Linked DNA regions of Schizosaccharomyces pombe. Changing the gene in region 4 together with the main gene of any one other region gives a genetic interaction. Each region holds a gene or a part of one and is shown on either strand. Other genes may lie near its edges. The genes, in order: slt1, gef1, spc34 and dbl5.

Evidence for each region.
Region 1: mutations in dbl5 (region 4) and slt1 together harm fitness more than expected from each alone (negative genetic interaction), as found in Schizosaccharomyces pombe (one large-scale study listed by BioGRID).
Region 2: mutations in dbl5 (region 4) and gef1 together harm fitness more than expected from each alone (negative genetic interaction), as found in Schizosaccharomyces pombe (one large-scale study listed by BioGRID).
Region 3: mutations in dbl5 (region 4) and spc34 together harm fitness more than expected from each alone (negative genetic interaction), as found in Schizosaccharomyces pombe (one large-scale study listed by BioGRID).

Annotation. Positions count from the first base shown.
Region 1 is NC_003424.3:3,613,238-3,618,002, reverse strand, and holds slt1 (protein slt1), read right to left. Parts: upstream 2,441-4,765; 5' UTR 2,378-2,440; coding exon 1,076-2,377; 3' UTR 903-1,075; downstream 1-902. Other genes in the region: TREX complex subunit, ATP-dependent RNA helicase Uap56, read left to right, coding at 1-462; cul1 (cullin 1), read right to left, coding at 3,120-4,765.
Region 2 is NC_003424.3:469,051-475,262, forward strand, and holds gef1 (RhoGEF for Cdc42 (Gef1)), read right to left. Parts: upstream 3,941-6,212; 5' UTR 3,850-3,940; coding exon 3,808-3,849; intron 3,753-3,807; coding exon 1,533-3,752; 3' UTR 931-1,532; downstream 1-930. Other genes in the region: SPOM_SPAC24H6.10C (phospho-2-dehydro-3-deoxyheptonate aldolase), read left to right, coding at 1-776; SPOM_SPAC24H6.08 (uncharacterized protein), read right to left, coding at 4,985-5,647. UniProt on the Schizosaccharomyces pombe protein: Has a role in the control of cell polarity and cytokinesis. Involved in bipolar growth, via modulation of cdc42-shk1-orb6 signaling, and septum formation. Stimulates guanine nucleotide exchange of cdc42.
Region 3 is NC_003424.3:3,672,472-3,676,471, forward strand, and holds spc34 (DASH complex subunit Spc34), read right to left. Parts: upstream 2,424-4,000; 5' UTR 2,324-2,423; coding exon 1,829-2,323; 3' UTR 1,228-1,828; downstream 1-1,227. Other genes in the region: V-type ATPase inhibitor and disassembly protein in response to oxidative stress Oxr1, read right to left, coding at 62-628; ABC family Fe transporter Atm1, read left to right, coding at 3,055-4,000. UniProt on the Schizosaccharomyces pombe protein: Component of the DASH complex that connects microtubules with kinetochores and couples microtubule depolymerisation to chromosome movement; it is involved in retrieving kinetochores to the spindle poles before their re-orientation on the spindle in early mitosis and allows microtubule depolymerization to pull chromosomes apart and resist detachment during anaphase.
Region 4 is NC_003421.2:222,732-228,084, forward strand, and holds dbl5 (ubiquitin-protein ligase E3 Dbl5), read right to left. Parts: upstream 3,088-5,353; 5' UTR 2,913-3,087; coding exon 2,592-2,912; exon of another isoform or gene 2,442-2,591; coding exon 1,356-2,441; 3' UTR 1,130-1,355; coding exon of another isoform or gene 1,122-1,129; 3' UTR 1,066-1,121; coding exon of another isoform or gene 956-1,065; 3' UTR 873-955; coding exon of another isoform or gene 720-872; 3' UTR 677-719; coding exon of another isoform or gene 654-676; 3' UTR 622-653; downstream 1-621. Other genes in the region: ubiquitin-like protein modifier Urm1, read left to right, coding at 654-676, 720-872, 956-1,065, 1,122-1,129; hexose transporter Ght8, read right to left, coding at 4,026-5,353.

The DNA.
Region 1 (4,765 bases), on a different chromosome or scaffold from region 4:
AAAAACAGGAAAATCAATGATTTGTTAGATTCTTTGGAATTCAATCAGGTTGTCATTTTCGTAAAGTCAGTAAGCCGTGCCAATGAACTTGATCGTCTTTTACGTGAGTGCAACTTTCCATCAATTTGCATTCACGGTGGTCTTCCTCAGGAAGAGCGTATTAAGCGTTATAAGGCCTTCAAAGACTTCGACAAGCGTATTTGCGTTGCTACTGATGTTTTTGGCCGTGGTATTGATATTGAGCGCGTCAACATTGTAATTAACTATGACATGCCTGATTCCCCTGATAGTTATCTTCATCGTGTCGGTCGTGCAGGTCGTTTCGGTACAAAAGGTTTGGCCATTACATTTTCTAGTTCAGAAGAAGACTCTCAAATTTTGGACAAAATTCAGGAACGTTTTGAGGTTAACATTACTGAGCTTCCTGATGAAATTGATGTTGGCTCATACATGAATGCATAAAATGTATATAGAAAACCAATACCTGTACCTGTTTTCAGTTTTGCTATGCAACGATGCATAATTAGTGTTGTCTTTCTATTCTTCAAGTTGAGGTTTAGAAGTATTCCAATCCTACTAAATATATTATCAAACTTATTCCAAATACGCCTTCCTTTTACAGATCCTTACATTAAAAAAGGTTTAACTTTTTATTACACGTTTACGTACCAAAGCAAACAATAGTGCTTTTCCACTCCTTTCTTATTTCCTTTTATTTTTGGGGACTATTGTTTTCTTGAAAGCCTTTCTTTTTAAAATATTCACGGTGAAAATATCCTTAGTTAAGTAAGTAAAAAGATACTGTAGTTTAAAGAGAGAAAGGAAATTGAGCGATATGATTTCTACAATCCTAAAAATGAGCTTTCTCAATCTGTAATTACGTTGCTTGTTATAAATGATATAGGAAATGTTCAATGCATTGAAAATTTTTTATCTAAATTATCGTATATCCAGTCATAAGTGATTACGTGAATGTTGGTCATTAGATATGTGCAAAAATGGATTCGTCTGAAAGTAGATTTGTTGGTAGTTAGGAAGGAAAATTTTATCTTTTAATAAACAAATATAATATTTATCATGCATCCTCGTCAGGGACCTCTTCAACAGTAACATTATGTCGTAAAGATGCTTGAGAAGATGGTCTTTTCGGAGATGCAGAATCATTAGAGTCAACATTAGATTTAGGTTCATTAAATGAGCCTTGCTCATGATTGTTGCTTCCTTCACTCTTTACATCAGTTTCAGCGCCTTTAGGAGAGGCCGAAAAGGTCTCATTAGAGAAATGTTCAGCAACAGGAGGTGAAGGTTGTTTTGAGCTGTCAGTTAATTTCTCTCCCGCCTTCGTGTCTATGGGCTCTTCAACTGTTTGGGTAGAATGAATAGGTAACGTCCCGTCATCGGGATCACGAACAGATTCAACGTCCTCATCACTACTTACCACTGAATATTGACCAGTCGATAACAATGCCTCTAGTGGGTTTCTAAACGTAGTAGGTTCGTCTTCAGGTTCAATGACTTCTGGGTCAGGATTCAAAGCACCTTTCGACATCTGTGCGAAAGATGTGGATGGGCTCTCACGAGCAGTTAAGTCAATATGTTTTCTAGCATTTCCACGTTTGTTAGAGCGGCGTTGAGCAGCCAATAAATAATCGTTCAATTCGGCCAACTCGGTGCGAGAAAGCTCCTCATCAGAAACACTAGCTTGAGAAGACGTTTTGCTTCTATTTGGTAGCGTATTAAGCTCAGCAACGTCTGGGCCACTTTGTTGTTCAGGTGCATTGTCGTTTTGAATAAATATGCGAAATGGTTGAGATTGTTGAGCACCTGCGTACTCTGATGTAGAGTATGGGCCAGTTTGTTGGTCAGCGACTTCAGCTTGGGATTCCGAAGACTCTTCAGGAGAATATATTGTGTCTACGACTGGATGATGAATAAACATTTGCTGGAAATTATTTGGCACTACAAGCTGCATATTGGGTGAATCGGAGACAAGTATTCTGCGTAGCAACTTTCGAGCCGCCTTTTCCCTGCGATGAGCTCTTTCACGCTCCTCATCCTCAAATCGCTTTCTGATTATAGTCCGTACAACATTTTCAAAAGCTCTACGCTCTTGCAGTTGCTCCAAATAATACTCTTGCAAACGAGCCTCTTGTTCCCGTTCATGCAAGTATTGACGGAATTTTCGATGTTGAATTTGCTGGAGCACTTCTTGCCTTGCATCCTCAATTGCCTTCTTTCGCAAAGCCAATTGTTCTTCTTGGCGTTGAATCACTTCGATTTGTTGATTCAGCTCTTCTAAGGCCATTTGAAGGCTGTGGTCTTGCACATTTTGATATTCATTACCATGTACATCTATAAGATGAAATAAAGTCGCCATTATGCTACGATTCTCTTCCTAGTATTTTTTTTCAGAACGATATGTCAAGGAAGATGGTGTGTTGAAGAAGAATGAGCGAACCGCGATGTTTACTCATTTATGTCATACTATGGTGTTGGCACCGGAATGTACCGGAATCATCCATTTCATCCATGAACACTCCAGCAACACCTGGAAGTAGTAAATCAATAAAAACGTTAAAATTGCCTTAATTAGTCTGATCAATTAATTTTTTTTAATTTGTAAGCACCATTTCGTTCTTCGTGCTGAATAATCAATATATGTCTTTTTTAACAGAATCAAGCGATTTGCAGAGGAAGACGAAGACGACAATTGACAATAAATGTATTATATAAAACATATCTTTGACATCCTTTCACAATTTCAAGCATCTGTACTTCGTGAAATGGTGCATGTATGTGGTCGATAACTGTTTTCTTTTCTTTTTCATTGTACGACTTATCCACGTAAAATGATGGGATAATAGAAGTTTGTTGTTGCTATCCAGTAACTAGTAGTAAAAAAAAGTTGCATAGCTTGCATGTAGCTAAGCTACACATTTCTTCAATGGAGTGGTGACTTTCCTACGTTATTAAAAGCTTAGTTTCAATGGATTAAAGATCACTAGCAGACAAGAATGTAAACAAAAGAAAAAAGAAAATTCGTATTGCGTGATTAATTACATATATAACACTCGAAAAGTATATCATTTTTTTTGGAGCATTTCGCGGAGATGTTTCTCTCAAGCAAGGTAAATGTATTCATCGCGGCCTTGGCGTTCCAGGTACTCTTTTTCGATTAACATATCTATACATTGCTTAATATCAGACACTTTAGGAGTAAATCTGCTTTTAATTTGATCAATAGTCTCTTTCACTAACACTACATGTTTCAATGTTCGGCGAGCCTTCATGATACGGACGATAGCGGATTGAAGCAGTAACTTTCGATCTTCTTCTATAGTTTTATGAGTCTCCAGAGATTCCTGCTTTTGCTCAGATCTAATTGGGAGATTTAACTGTACCCGTATCTTTTTCATCCTAAAATTTTCATTGATCTTATATGTGCTATTAGGATCACCAAGCTTGTCATTGTCGCCAAGGAGAAGCACCTTTGCTTTTAGGAATATGTTCAGAATCCCTGTCAAGAAATCTGTACTTAACCCAGTTATTTTTGCCAGCTCCTCATATGTATAAGAATCGCGATGGTTGTACAAAAGCAAAACACCCATTTGATATGTAGAAACTTGAAACACATAAGTGACATTAGTTTGAGGGTTAATGCGTGCCTTTATTTCTCCTTTAGAGAGATGGAACAACCAGCTTAACTTCCTTCCGTTATGGCAGCTATAGTAATAGTTTTGGAATCCTTCATACAAAGGAACTAATTCCTCTGGCAGATGAAAGTTCACATTGTTGGGAGATAGAGGCCAAAACGATGTACCAAGTACAAGAGCAGAGAAATCTATATTTCCAGCACGTGACTGAGGGAGTTGCCAAAACGCTTCGGTAATCTCTTGAGACAAGGAGATGTCTTGAAACATACGCTGTAGCTTACTAGTATATTCAAAACCGCAGACTTCCTTTAACTTAGATAGCATGCTAGATTCAGCATCCTGGGAATTAGAGGTACCATTCACAAGTCGCTTGGCTAAAAGCTTAGTATAAAAGTTTTGAAAAACATCCTTGTCTTCGACATAACGAAAAATAATGATAATCGACGATAAACAGTCTTCAACATCATCAATGTCAACATTCTTGTTGCTTTTTCGCAAAATACTGTCGGCGTATTTAGCAAGCAACTCTGGGGAGCGAGAGGAAGAGCGCTGGCAAACAACATTTCGATTGACAAGTTCTCTAAAGGCTGTATCCAATGACTTTGTAAAATCAGTATCCCCATGAAATGCGGTGTTAACAAGTTCTTTGGAAGCTTTATACGTGGAAAGTAACATTTCCATATACTCTTTAGGATCCACATCGGCTTCTCCACCGACCTGGGGAACAATTTTGGCAACCGCAGCAAAGCCTGATCTCTTGACAAACTCCTCAAATGTCTGGCGTAAAGGCTGCAACCCATTAGGTGTTCGAGACATCAATCGGTACATGCGAATGATATCCTCACTGCAGTTTTGGTCGAGCATGCGTGCAAAGTCGTTGTGCAAAACTTCTTCATGTTGTGCAATTAGTACATCTTCAGTCGCTTCTAAAAGCGGCTTCAATGTGGATTCATGCAAATATAATCTCACAAGCTCTTCCTCCTCTGCTAGTCTTATTTCTGCCTTTTTTAAGTAATCCGTAATAGAATGGGAAGCCAAGTATTCGGAAGACTCCTTTGCATAAAAGTTTTTTGTATTTTCAATAAAGTTTGTTTCGAAAAAAGTTTTGTATG
Region 2 (6,212 bases), on a different chromosome or scaffold from region 4:
AGCCTCGTACAACTGTTGGATGGAAAGGGTTGATTAATGATCCCGATTTGGATGGATCTTATAACATTAATAAGGGTATTCGTGTCGCTCGACGCATTTTTCTGGAGCTTCTGGAAACTGGTGTCGGTATAGCGTCAGAGATGCTGGACACTATAAGTCCCCAATATTTAGCTGATCTAATTTGCTGGGGCGCTATTGGTGCTCGTACCACTGAGTCCCAATTGCATCGAGAACTTGCTTCAGGGCTTTCTTTTCCAATAGGTTTTAAGAATGCTACTGACGGTAACATTGGTATTGCTATAGATGCTATGAATTCTTCTGCCAACCCTCATCATTTCTTGTCTGTCACAAAGCAGGGTGTTGTAGCCATTGTTACTACTACAGGTAACCCTGATACACACATTATTTTGCGTGGTGGTAAAAGTGGGACTAACTTCGATGCTGATTCAGTGGCTGGTGCCAAGGCTAAACTCGAAGAATGCAACAAGCTACCTAGTATCATGATCGACTGTTCTCATGGAAACTCATCTAAAAACCATAAGAATCAACCCAAGGTTGCTGCTTGTATTGCTGAGCAGGTGGCAAACGGTCAGAAAGCAATTACTGGTGTCATGATCGAATCTCACCTTAACGAAGGTAAGCAAGCTATACCTGAGGATGATTTGTCAAGTATGAAATATGGAGTCAGTGTCACCGATGCTTGCATTGGTTGGGACGACACTACCGCCGTTTTTGAACAGTTGGCTGCTGCCGTCCGTTCTCGTCGTTCTCATTAACCTATAATGAAGGTTATTGAGACAGTTTTATAAAAATAAATTTTTTGGTTTCTTGTATAATAAATTTGTATTTGCCGTAATTAACAGTGTGACTTTTAAAAGGTTATTTATCGTACTTATCATTGCACTTTATCGGATGGTTCCAGACTGTTTCATCGTAAGTATTTTTATTTACGTTTTGGTTTTACTACGAATGTAAGAATTTGACCTGTTTTTGTTAGTCAACTAGGATAAATAACGACGAACAAAATTAATTCAATCAAAACCTAATTACATATTTTAAACATAAAACATAGTTAAAGTGAAAGTCAAATATTATATACATTATTAAAGCATATAAATGAAAAGTGGAAGCGTATGAACAAATAAAATGGCATAACAGCAGAAAAGCCAAAACGTTCCTAGTTTAAAAAAAAAAAGTGAAAAGACAATAATTAATAGCTCGACTTGAGCAGACAAAAATAATGAGATGCATAAAAGGAAGGCGTAAAAGCGTTTAGAATCCTAATTTGAAACTAAACTTAACAGGCCTCTGTGATAGACAAAAAAAGACCGTTAAAAGAACCTAAACGAATTGTAATCAGACAAACGCAGATATTAGGTTAAATAAATGTAATTGTGATGTTAAATACATGGAAGCTGCAAAAAACCATGGTCCAGAGAAACGTTTTCATCATTCAAGTAACATGAATGCAGTATATCTAAATGTGTATATATATAGAACAGATAAAAAATATTCGACTAAAGAAGTTGCTCTTAAACCCTCGCAGCTAAAGAGACACTTTTCATTAATTCCTCCAGCAATACCTCGTCATCATAATGCATGGGTTCAAAGGCTCGAACTAACTCTGCATAATCTTGCGTTTCTTCTAAGATGCTATCCCTCATGTCTTGAGGGATAAGAAACAAGAAACCTTGAGCGTAGTTTTCATAGAGAGAGCGTTGAATACCAATAAAATGATAAACAACACTGTGAAATTCCTTCTCAACAAGAGTAGAAATTGCCTCAAGCTTTTGAGCAGGAATCACAAATTCAGCGCTGATAATGAACTGAATAACTTTTTGAATCACTCGTAGGATATTTGTGATTGGGTTAAGGATAGAAGAATTTAAAGACGTTTGTATTTGAGAAGGAAGGTTAGCAGTCATCATGTGCGCAAGTAAATGATACTTACGCCACGTATCTACCGGCTTGTCTTCGGGCTCTAAAGCACTAAGCCCTTCAAGCTCTGCTAAAACCTTTTCAAAAACCGAAAATCCACGATGTACAGTAACGTACCACGTTTCCAATGTAGCATGTAAGGCTTTTAATATAGCGAATCGTTGTCGAAAATCTTGAAGCACTTGGCGTTGAAAATTCAATCGAGCATCAGTTTTTAACTCAGTAGATGTAGTGGTGGGCCTAGATTTATTCGATGTTGCTTTATAGAGTAAACTCCAAGCAGCGTCTCGTTTATGAGAAGCACTTAACGACCCACGCTTATGAGAAGGCTTCTGCTTCTGGTTTATACCAGATATTAACTCCTGTAATAGTTGATAAGAAAGGACCAAATCTGGGCGCTCAGAACTACTTTCAGGAGTAACATCAATGATTTTTTGCAATAATAGGGGGTACTTGAGTAAGCGCTGTAAAGGTTTAATTATTAAACTACCCAAATCCCAGGCGTTCGTGTATTTTTGAACTATTTTATCACCCTCCATAATCCAGGATGCAGTTGCAGGTTTCTCTCTCCATTTAGTGATAATTTTGAAAACCGAATCTTGACGGTTGCAATAACCAGTATAAATTTGACCGATTTCAGAAAGGCTTTCTAAAAAAATAAGACCTAAATTGCAAGGAAGAGGATCTATAAGCTGGGTATCCAAGTTTACACGCCAGGAGCCTTCACCAGCTTGATAAAGTCGACTATGGAATTCCACAGTAAAAGTTAATAAAGACTCTATATCGCCAAAAACTGTTTGGGCGTCAACTGGATTCAATGCACTGCATTCTTTGACCCGCAAGCCATAACTTTGTTGAATCGCAATGAGATCGTTTAAATAGGCAGCTTCAGTAGTAACCAGCTCTTTAATCAAATTTGCACGCTTTTTAATACGCTTATATTCTGGATTGATAGAACTGGCTTCAGACATAGCAAGAGATTCCTTTGATAAACGCTTACCTGGTGTGCTCGGTAAAGAAGTAGTGGCATACGAAATTGTTCGGCTGAGAGACTCATCAGTTTCCAAGGCCAAAATAGTAGAGTCCAACTTAGTAGAAAAAGAAGTAGTATCAAGAGGTGAAAGGAGGGACGCTGTAGACGAATGAGAGGAAGGCATACTTGCCAAAGTCACACTGGAACGCTTTTCTTGTTCATCCGTAGAGCTACCAGGTAGATACGCCGAAGTCCTGTTACTGCTAGTTTCAGAGGAATTCTGTGCCATAAAAGACCCTAGGCCGCTAACTCTTCGTGAAGTTCCATTGCTACTCGTGTTTGTATGTATTTTTCGAAGTGTTGTAGGACAGTTATATGATGGGGAACTAGGCAACGAAGGCAAAGTATATCGGCTAGACTGAGCATAATCTTGACGATTGCGGTCCCCATAAATACGATTAGGGGTTAAAGTAGAACTATTAGAGGCTGTAGAATCCCCATTTAATGAGTGGCTCATGTTGGAGTTTGGCAAATTGAAGGAGCCCTCCGAAAAGAATCTTCGGTGCTGAGACGATACGGGAGGAGTGTTTGGAGTTTGGGGATCTTGTAAAGCACGAGCAAAGCTTGCTCGAGACCTCCTTCCACTACTCAACCTGTATTCACTCTGTGATTCTGAAACATCGCCATCAGTGTCGTCTGATTGTCGGTAAGAAAGCGAATAACTGTTAGAAGGAAGGCTTAAATTGATAGATTTTCGTTTAATACATGCAGCTCGATGAAGCTTGCTTGTTCCAGGCAATCTTGGTAAATCCCTGTTTGCCAAGGTTTCAAAGTACTCAGGCTGATCAACATTGTTAACACATATACACACATTCAAATCAAGTATAAGGACATACGGAATCGGACATATCCGAAAGATCTGCTTTTAAAGTCTCCATATTGAAAACATTTGGAGAACAATAAAATGAATGACAATTTTGGAAATTTTGTTTACATGAATTTTATTAGGTAACGTTGTTGGTAAAGCACAGGTTTTGGAGATTTGGCGCCAACTTCTTCTTAATCCACTTTCAATACCTTCCACTTCCTTATCTTCATTACCAATGCATAACGTAATCACCCACGAAAAATAGTTTGCCAAAAATAGGCTTGGCTCAGCTTTTTGAGCGCCAACCGCGGACAGAGGCAGTTTACCTTTGTACTTGGTTTACAAATGGTTGCTTGCACAGGTACATAGTAATATGACTTGAGTATTCGATTTTGTGATAAACATTTACGTATTTACAATTTGTAATATAAGGTTAAATTTATTCATGTCTCCCTTTATGAAATTCTAGAAATGACAGCAGTTAAAATAAATTCCACTGTTACGGTTACAAGTTAATAAATTTGTTATTTCATTGTTTTAATTAGCTTAAATATTTAGAGCGGTTTTGTTTTCTTGGTAATGCACGTAATTTGCTTTGTTTTTTTTTTTTTTTTTTTTTTTTTTTTAATAAGTAATAAACATTAAAGATGTATATAAACAGAAATGAGAGAGAAGCGGCAGTTGATTGTCTTACATAACTTTGGTAAACACTGTATAATTTTAAAAGAAAATTTTTATTTTTTTTAATAATTACTTGAGGCTAATACGCTGCATTTTCTGTCTGTAGTACTTTTTTTCATATATTCAAAAAATCACGATATCTAATACTAAGTGTGTATGATAAACAGACCTAGTCAAAATTCCTAAATATTCTACGGTGTTCACTAAAAACAAATATAATGTTTCAGTAAATTAAACTAAAAATACTATTAATCGACAGGCCATAAGAAAAATATATATTGTAAAAAAAATGGAAACTTCCATTATATCTATTAAGATTTCTTCTAATTTCAAAAAGGAAGTGTTATTAAATCCTTTAACTTGTAACTTCGTTAGCGTCCGACATAGCTAATCATGCTTATAAATGGTTTGTTAAAATGCAAATGAGTAACATCATTAAAAATGATAGAATTAAGAAAAAAAGAGCATTAGTGTCATATAACTTGCAGCAGGAAGATTTAGAAAATATATAACAACATGTAAAGCTAGATAGCAAGGTTTTCAATTAGAGTCTTCAAAACTGGACACCAGCGCACACAATTAGTTACAACACCGGCACACATAATTTCTACAATAAATGCCTTCGCCTCACTAATGTTTCCTGTCAACGCCAAGCGACATGTTTGCGATAATTTTTGTAGCCAAAAGCCTTCCATGTTTTCTAGTTGACCTTGTAATAGTAAATTCGTTTTGACTCGTTCACCCAACATCTTATGAACAGAATCACTAAGATTTGATTTACTTTCTATAATTTGCAATAGGGAGTGCCTGACATCTTCACAAGAAGCTTCGTTCATACAATCGTTTGTTGTATCGTTAAACGTGGTAAAGATATCATTGTCACTGCTTTTCTTCATCAAGTTGAGAGGATTACTGCTAATTTGAGGAACAGAGATATTCGTGGGAGGAACAGATATACTCCTGTTCATAATTTTTGAAGGTGAAAAAGGAGGAAGTGGTGATTTACTAAGTACTTGACCAGCTAACGGTTTGGGTGCCAGCATGTCATCACCATAAACCAAACGTCTACTCGAAGCCGATTTCTTTAAACTTGATGTGGAAGACGTTCGTTGAGTTTGACTTAAAAAGATACCAGAAGAAGGATCGTTCCAGTGCACCTCAATTTTCCCAGTTTGATGTGAAGTCATGTTGTGTTGACGCAAATAATGTTGTTCTATGTTTAGTTTGTTTAAACGAACGAAATAAATAAGAATCTTTCTATCTCGACCAAAGAAACTGGCTGGTGTATTCCTTTATAGCAGTTCAAGAAGGTTTGTGGTAGTGGATAAGAAGAGACGAATGCAACATTGCCATATATCACATGTTCAATAAGGTGATTTCAGCAGCGGAACTATTAAAAACAACGGTAGTAGGAAAAAATGGTAAGGTTATTATAATAAGGATAAATATAAGTACTTAGAGCATCAAAGTTCGTAGCTGACGAATAATATCGACATTTTGGTGTAGTAAAAATTACCTACTCAGTTTTTACAATAGCGCTGAATGTGCAACGTACGGGAATATCATAATTAATACAATAATGGATTTCAAATAATAAAGGTCAGCATATTGCAATGGCTCCGATGTTTGAATAATTATCCATTCGAGCGATAGAAGTAATTAACATTTAATATCCGTAGAAGCTCAACTACCATCTAAAGCCTGAAAAACTTAATCAACGACCTTCTATTTAAAATCCGTTTATTACCTGAA
Region 3 (4,000 bases), on a different chromosome or scaffold from region 4:
CTGATGCACATTTCCGAGTCCATCTTTTATTTTCTTTTTTCTTTTCATTCGTTAGTTGATATTACTCCAATACCCAGAGCTCGATGTCCACGATTTGGATTCGTTGGTCAGGACAGCCACGATAGCTCAAAGGATTGTTTTCGAATGCAGGAGTACGACTAGAGTAAGCGTACTCTAGAGAGCCATCAAGCCAAAGGCTGTATCTTCCATTACCCCCACCAAATGCCAAAAAGCTTTTGGTGCAATATGCAACAAAATTGGAATTTCCTACGAAAGGGTAATGTACATACTTTTTGGGAGGAAAATATTTCCACAAGAAGGTTTCCTCGGAACCAAAGTAATGAGGTGCAGGAATTAAATAATCAGGGATAAAAACTCCAAAAACATCGCCGTCTGTATCGCGCACAGCTAAAATGCAAGCCCCTTTAGGATGGCCGCTTCGAGCTTTTTCCTTTTCGCAGGCTAAGTACATTGTTTGAAGAGATGCGCCGTCATGTTGCAACGAATAGATTCGTTTCCAAGTTTCAGCAGAAGCATATCTTGCTGGCAAGTTCTCAACGATGTGACTGGCCAATTCATCTGTTATTAAGCCGTCTTTAACACTATACTGTCTTGTAAAGTTAAACATTTCAATTGATACAAAATACTTGCTAAAATTTTGTACTCTTATGGTGTGTGTAGTTAGAAAGATTAAGGTGATCCACTAGCCTTATGTAATAAGTAAACAAATAAATAATTGTGAATACAATAACAAACACTGAAATAAACAACAGTAAGTGTATTCTTTAATTTTCCAAAGAAGAAGTTTTTCTTAATAAAGGTATTCTTATTGATCCTTTTTTATTGTTTTTTTTGAGAAATCGAGTAAATAATTTTTTTGGCGTAATGTGTGATTGTTAAGGTGGAGCAGCAGCCTTGGTATTAGCAATTAAAACATTCGTTCAAATTCTATCATTCAGTAACAACAAAAAATAATTATAGTTGACGAGTCAATAGAAACACTATGAACCTGACTTTTACTCTATATTAATAATCAAATATAGAATAAATACATAGTGTTCCATTACTTGCTATCATACTATGCTATTGAACTTTTATTTATATCTTAAATAAAATCTTTTAGAACTTTTAAGAACAAGTATGTACTTATGTTTGTATAAATATTAAGAACTCATTACAACAAATGAGTCCAATGCAAAAGCTGGCGTTGAGCCAGTAATCTAATTGCCGTCTTTAACTTATCATGAACATTATTGTATTTTTCACATACTATTCTATAAATGAGAATATTACAAAAACAATGAGTTATTATGCTCCTGAGTTGTAATGTACTTAGTTTGCTAATTATCTTCGTTCAATATCTTTGCCGCTTTAGAGAATTCCTGGAGCAAACAGTCCAAAGATTCTCTTCTCTTCTCTTTATGTTTTTCATATTCTAGGTATTCATAATCCTCTAGCTCTTTTGTAGCCTTCAAAGTAACAGTAGACGAACTTGCTTTTTTCTTAGCAAGCGACATTTCAATATGCTTTTTAAAGGATGATATATCAAAACATCGACTTCTTTTTTTCCTCTTCAGCTTCATCAGTTTGTATTGGGAGTAAGCCGATCGATCATCTGACGTCGAAGGATAACTGCAATCAGAAATATCTCGGGTGCTTCTTTGAGGATGTAACTTCAAAGGAATGAGTCCATGGTCTTTTATATCCTCGCTTAAATACATTTCTTGTTCTTTGCTCAAATCCATGATAAAACAACGACCTCGCTTCTCCTTTTCTAAATGTTCACCAATACGAAAAGTCGATCTGACTACCAACGCAAATAGCCTTCCTAAGATTGTATCAGTTGCTTCACTTTTTCAATTTCTCTTTCAAGTCTTTGGATTTCAGAAGTTTCACGCTGTAGAATATTCTCCCTAGCAGACACCTGATCGGTTTGTCGTTTTTCAAGTTGCTGCAATTGCTCTTTCTGTTCCAGTAAAACGTTTTCCAAATTCTCAATTCCTGACATATGTAAGTTGTATTTCTCAACCAGAGTCTCCAAATATTCACGGCCACCTTGCATAGGATATATATCTAGTAGTTCCTCAATACAAGCAACGTAGTCTGCAGGGTTTTCTGATGCCAACCTTTCACTCCAATCCTTCGGTAGAGATTTGAACTCAGCTGCAATTAGTTCTTCCTTCTGAGTATCGCGAATTAAATCAGTTATAGCATGAGTATGTAGCACCGCGTCTGTGAAACGTGCTGCGTTTGGGTTTTCCGGTTCCAAAAGTTTTTCTGATGTAGCAGCAATAGACTGTAAATAATTCAACAAATCAGACATTTATTTAATAAGTCATCAAAAACACTAATTCGACTCGTAATTAGTAAAAGGTATGTTTCAATTCACTTTACCAGAGTTGCCAAAAGTGTATGCAATCTCTGGGTGTGTGCAGGTGGTTTAACCAAAACGTAATAAACGTTTGGTATCTTTGATATAATGGAAATCACCTGTGCCTGTTTTTGAAATTCTGTTCTCGCTCAGCAAATTATTTTAACAAAGGTAAAGCATTGCGTTCATTCCTTGCTATTTTCCTTTATTTGCTACACCGAATCATTCTTACGTTTACGCTTTAGGCACACATTTCTTCAGCTCAGATTATCCATTAATAATTATATGTAAAACTTTTATAAAGGTTAATACACGCTAAAAATTTCGTAATCCTCAGTGCAGTTTTGATGAGTTTGCAATTGTTGGACTCTACTTCGCAATCGTGATCTAATCAAAATCTACAACTTTCTAAGTCTGCCAGATTTATAGAACTAAAGGTTTGAGAATTATCCTTCTCTTAGTTCTTTTATTCATATATACCATCTATTAAAAAGTTGCCTCTTTGGAGGCTATTTGAGGTTTTTCTGACTGAACGTTTCGTCTGTTTTTCATATTCTATCAGCCAAGTTTATTCTATTTAAATATAGATTTAAAAACTTTAATTATCTTAAATAGAAGAGCAGTATATTGGGTATAACTAACAGCTTGAAGCTCTGACATCTTAAAGTGTTGTATTAATAAAAATGCTAGAACGATGTCCCTGGAAATTAATCAGCTCGCCAAGAAATATTCCAGCTCGCTCTTTTCTTAATTCTCGTGGAACTTATCTTGTTTTAAGAAAGTCAAATATATTACCTCTTCAACATATACTGCGGTTTTCCAATTTTGCATCTAAGCAATGTTTCCCACTTAGAAATGGAAATAATTCGGCTTCAAAAGCGTTATGGAATAACAAATCAAAAGAAAAAGAGCCACTGAATACTTCTGTTAAACTTGCTTCCGATGTACCAGATGATAAAAATGTAACAGGACAAATGATTGTTAAGGACATGCTTCAATATATTTGGCCCAAGGGGAAGACTAATTTGAAAGTTAGAGTTGTTTCGGCTCTCGCACTACTTGTAGCTGCCAAAATTCTTAACGTCCAAGTTCCTTTTTACTTTAAATCAATTATCGATACCATGAATACAACACTTGTTCAAGAAGTAGGAGCATTGTGGTCTACTGTAGGAGCTGTTGTTCTCGGTTATGGCTTTGCTAGAATATTTTCTACCGTTTTTCAAGAGTTAAGGAATAGCGTTTTTGCAATTGTGTCGCAAAGCGCTATTCGAAGTGTTTCTAGCAATGTCTATCAACATCTGTTGAACCTTGACATGAATTTTCATCTCTCAAAGCAAACAGGAAGTATTACTAGAGCAATGGATCGTGGTACAAAAGGTATTAGTTTCATTCTTTCCTCCATGGTGTTACACATCATTCCTATTACCCTTGAAATTGCTATGGTGAGTGGTATTCTCACTTACAAGTACGGACCTTCGTTTTCGGCCATTGCTGCTACAACCGTTGCTCTTTATGCTCTTTTTACTGTTAGGACGACATCCTGGAGAACTGTATTCCGTCGTCAAGCAAATGCTGCTGACAGTAAAGCATCAGCCGCGGCAATTGAATCTCTGATTAATTATGAAGCCG
Region 4 (5,353 bases):
TACACACAAATAGTTCAATTGTTGTGATTGCGACAAACGAAACAGCGAAATCAAGAATATTCACTCTGTAGTCCAATTCCAACCACTTTAAAGACTTTTTAACAAAATAATAAAATTGTTCAAACAAATTTCCAACTAATTCCTTCAAACAATGGCATAAAAAAAGAAGAACGAAAAAACTGAACGAGGCAGTGGATTGCTTCTGACACATTTATTTTGTCACTGCCTTTTTTATTCACCCCAACTTAGCTTTCCTTAAATGTAAGCTACGCAGTTTGGTATCTGATTTACGGATACGTAGAACTGCGGTGAGGTTTTTAGTAATTTCAATATAGCGGTATGCGCCCTGTTAACTAACAATATTATATTTATTGTTATAAGAAGTCTAATAGTATCGAATACCAATATATCTAATAACTAAACTGAGGAATCGAGTCAGCAGTTGTTATCAACGGGTATTCATAATACGGTGGTTAGCGTGTGACATATAATGATACATAACGTAGTGAGTCATAAAACACGCTAAACAGATACCAAACTGCGTAGCTGACATGACACTGAATTTCTATCACTCTTTAACAACTACAGTGGAATATACAGTTAGAACGTACATTTTGCGTTGCTTTCACGAATCCCCAAAGTTTTAAAAAACAATGGCTATAAAAGTAGAGTTACTGTAGGTGTCATATTTTATTACAATTGGTAACCTATTATTGTAGAGGTGGGCTTGACTTGCTCTTCAATAAGCAGAAAGCGTTGTCGTTGTCACTTTCAAACCTTGGCTCAACTAAGTTGGGATCATTGATTGATTATATGGCTCAAATAATAGAAAAGCCTTCTCAAAAAGATTTATTTATTTTAAATGGGACTGTGTAAGTGAACATGGAGTGGTATCATCTTTTTCAGGCTCAAACGATGTTTTAAATGATTTTGCAGAACTAACACTTCCCTGCAGACGTCCGGGGATCATCGTCTTAGTAAATGACCAGGATTGGGAACTTCTTGAAAAGGAAGAATATAACCTCGAAGAAGGTGACGAAGTTGTATTCGTCTCAACGTTACACGGTAAAACAATATTTAGCATTTTTTTTATAATATTTAAAACTAATTGTATCAACTAGGAGGTTAAATGGCAGGTATAATTATAAGACAAAACAAACATGCACAAATATCATTAGTATTGAATTTTTTTTTTTAGTCATAAATCCGACATGTATGCTAAATTTTAGTGTCTTATGCTCTAGAGACCCAAAATCCAAATCACAATTAAATCATTCATCATGAACAGAAACCATAGACCAGGTTAAGGTTACTTGATTTCTCGGTATAATTTTTTCTTCGTTAGAGTTGAGTAATTATGATTCTTCGTCAGAGTCTAGTTGTATTGTACGAGTTCGCCGAGCTTGCCGACGTGGATAGCTTGCAGTGAATACCTCGGAATAGGGTTCAAGATCAAATCCTCTATTCTGGCTGGATGATTGTGAACTACGGAGGCCTGTTCCATTAGTTACAATATTTCCTTCATCCTCATCTGATGAGAATGGATGTTGCCTGGAATGAATATTGTTATGAGAAGGAGAATTATTTGAGGAAGAATTGAGAGAATCCAAACTTTCATTCTGAATGTCAGCAAGCTCTCTTCGTAACTCATCGTATCTTTGCCCATCGTTATAACAGGTCTCAGATCGAGATACCATATTCGTCCCTCCAGAGTCGCGCTCTTCATCGAAGCCGTTCATAATATCAATCTCTTCACTATCTGTGCTATCCAAAGCAGTAATACCATTTCCATTACTTCCATTGACAGGAGCTACGAAGTCATCGTCACTTTCGACAGGAGATAATTGGCTTGTAGCACGATTATCTATAAATCCATCATCAACATCGTACTCACCTGGACCAGAAAAATCAGATTCTAAATCAGACCCCACAAATTCTTCTCCTTCGTCAAATCTCAGCCAATCTTGTGGTACTGCAGTTATTGGCGCATGTCCCATATTATTAAATGCGCGGTTAGTCGAGATATTCCCACCACGGGTGTTATCGCCATTTAGGCTGGAATCACTCTCAGCATTTTCTCCATCCCAAAACCATTCACGACCAGAATCTTGGTCATCCGATATTTGAAAACCGCAATGATCGCAATGGTACGGATTTTCCAATTCCCATTGGCAACGAGCGCATCGTAAAACTCCATCTTCAGAATCAACAAGGATACTTCTTGGGTAATGAGAATCTTCTTGTTTAAACATCCCATCAAACAATACCTCCTTTTGCTTCTTTGCTGGATTTTCATTGATTCCCACAAGTGGGAAGCCACTGTTTGAGGCAGCAACCACATTCATTATTTCATATACAAGATATGCTGGTGAAGGTTGTGTATACAGTTTTTGGCGACAAGTTGGGCAAGATTTTGACTCTTTTAACCAATTTAGAAGACACTATTTATTAGTTTCAATCCTTTATAGAAAAAAAGTAAATCTAGAAACTTTTAAAGATATAATCTTGCTCTTTCAATATTTCACTCACAATGAGGGAATTCAATGATAATGAAAAGTTATTCCAGTGTTAAGCATCAAATTTTCACTTACCTCGTAACAATATGTATGACCGCAATGAGTGGTAAAAGGTCTTTGTAAAGCTTCTGTGCAAATGGGACATTCCAGAGTTTTTTTTATTTTCTGGAACGTTTCGAGCAAAGTTTTTGTATCGGGGATTTGTTTTTTATTTTCTGAATTACTGCTAATGCGAGACTTTTTGTACATTTGAGTTGCATCACTAGACGCAAAAGTTGTGCTGTTGGATTGTGGAATTAATAGAACCTCCATTTTCTCATCGTCCAAGTTATTATTATAATTTTCTTCATCGTCTTCATCCAAAACTACTTGGCGATGAGAACTGCGTTTAACCATTGCGCCCAGACAGATAAATTACTATTGAACTTGGTATGTGAGCTCTAACGTTTCTAATCCGGAGAGAAAGCTTTATCAAAATAATAAGTTTAAATAAAATCCTTTAAAAAAACGAATTATATGCAAATTCTTCAAAGCAAATCAACCATTGATTTGTACTTTATATATTTCTTGTAGATGGCAAATACTCTGCGTATTGCAATGCAGCGGTTTACAACTGCATTATCAAATTCTTCTGGTATTATCATAAATATCATTTAGTGACTTGTAGTCAGTGTAATCTCGGGCATATGTAAATTTATTTAACGTTACAAAATGCGATTGCGTTCAACAAGCATGGCTAATAGCGTTTTCTTGTAGCTTGGATTTTTATGAGGATTATTCACAGATACGCACCGATGGCATTTCACGTATAGTTTTAAGTATAATATTTTCAACCATAGCTTTCAATGTTTCACTCTAAGTAGAATTGAACGTCTCCCGACTTAACTCGTAAATATCGTTGATTACTTACCGGAAACCTTTTTTTGCATCGTTCTAACCAGGTAAATAAATTGAACGAATGCTATTCAAAAACATTCAAGGATTAAATAACATATCAACAATTAGATACTACGCTTATTTACTGTTCAGCATACCTTTCTACTCAATGTCTACAATTCGCAATACACAAAACGATATGTAATAGCACATTAGAAATAAGGAACTGTTTAATTTTTGTTAATCCTTAACGAAAAAACTATCAGCATTTAACTAAATTATCTGTTTACATTATTATTAAAATTATAATGCAATCCCTGCCAGTTCCTCATCAACGCCTTTCCATAGTAATAAGGACCGGGCCACTCATAAAAACATTACCAGTTAAAAAGCATGCACACCAACTTAATATTAATATCTCTAACAGAAAGGACGGAACAGTTTGAATAACAACGACAAAGGAAATGCAAATAAAAAATAACTCTCAAAGTTGGCACAGCCAAAATCCAATTATACAATTCGATTTTAATGAAGGATGAATCAGCAAAAAACACATACTCATTAAAAAGAAATAACATTTAAAAACTACCGATTCGTGTAAACCGAAAGCATTGCCATTTTCGGTCAACAAACTTATGCGTAGCGATCTTGTTCATCAACATAGTTAGACTCAGGCTTAGCACGGCCTTCAGAAGAAGAGGTAGAAGATGTAATGTCGTTACTCGAAGTATCCTCCATACCCTCATTGTCAACGTTTTCAAGATGAGCGGCACTTTCACCTTGAACACCACGAGATTTTTCAAGAACCTCTTGTTGTTGCTTTGCAGCTTGTCCGAGATTCTCGGGCCTAGGCATCCAGGGCTTAGCGCCGGAGAGATACAGTTCGTTAATCTCTTCCAAGGTAAGACCTTTGGTTTCATGGGCAAACAAGAAAATAATACAAGCAGCACACAAATTACAGGCAGCGAAAATATAACCATACTTGAATCCAATGGAGTCACTAATGAAGGGAGTAAAGAAAGTAATAAGGAAACCCCACAACCAGTTACCAGTGGTAGCGACGGCAGCACACTTGGAACGATAACGAATGGGATACGATTCACCAACGATAACGTATGCGGCAGGACCCCAAGTTTGAGCAAAACTGAAAATGAAAAGACATGAGAACACAATCATAACGGCACCGGCACGATGGTTTGAGGTACCATTCTTACGAGTAAGAGCACGATTACCAACAGCTGCGTAAATGAAGAAAGTAATGGATTGCCAAACACCACCAATAATCAATGGCATACGACGACCAAAGAACTCTAGGACGAAAAGACCACCAAACGTACATCCAAAGTTAACGGCATCAAGAATCAAAGCAGAAAGATAAGGAGAGTTCATACCAGTACCCTCAAACACCTCGAAACCATAGTAGAAGTAGTAGTTATCACCGGTAAGTTGTTGAAGAGACATGACACCAAGACCAAGGAAGGTACGATAACGAATATCCGCACCTAGAATGTCACCCCAAGTAGCGGGACCACCGGCCATTTCAGCTTCACAGTCAGTTTTAATGACATGGTATTCCGTTTGAATAATTTCGTGTTCACGAGGAAGAACGTTGTTTTTGCACATAATGTCAAGAGCCTCTTCATCTTTACCAATAGCAATCAAATAACGAGGGGATTCAGGAAGGAAAGAAATACCGATGAACATGATAATACCCCAAAGCAAGTTAATACCCATGGATACACGCCATTGAGCAGTCTTGTGCAACTTGTGAGTACCCATGTTGATACAAGCGGCAATGAAAATACCACCAGTGACAGCCAATTGATAGGTGGTGACAATGGTACCACGAAGGGTAGCGGGAGCAACCTCAGATTGGAAACCGGGGGCAAGCACAGACAAGGCACCAATGGCAAGACCAGTCCAAATCTTAGCAACCATGATTTGGACCCAAGATGGGACAG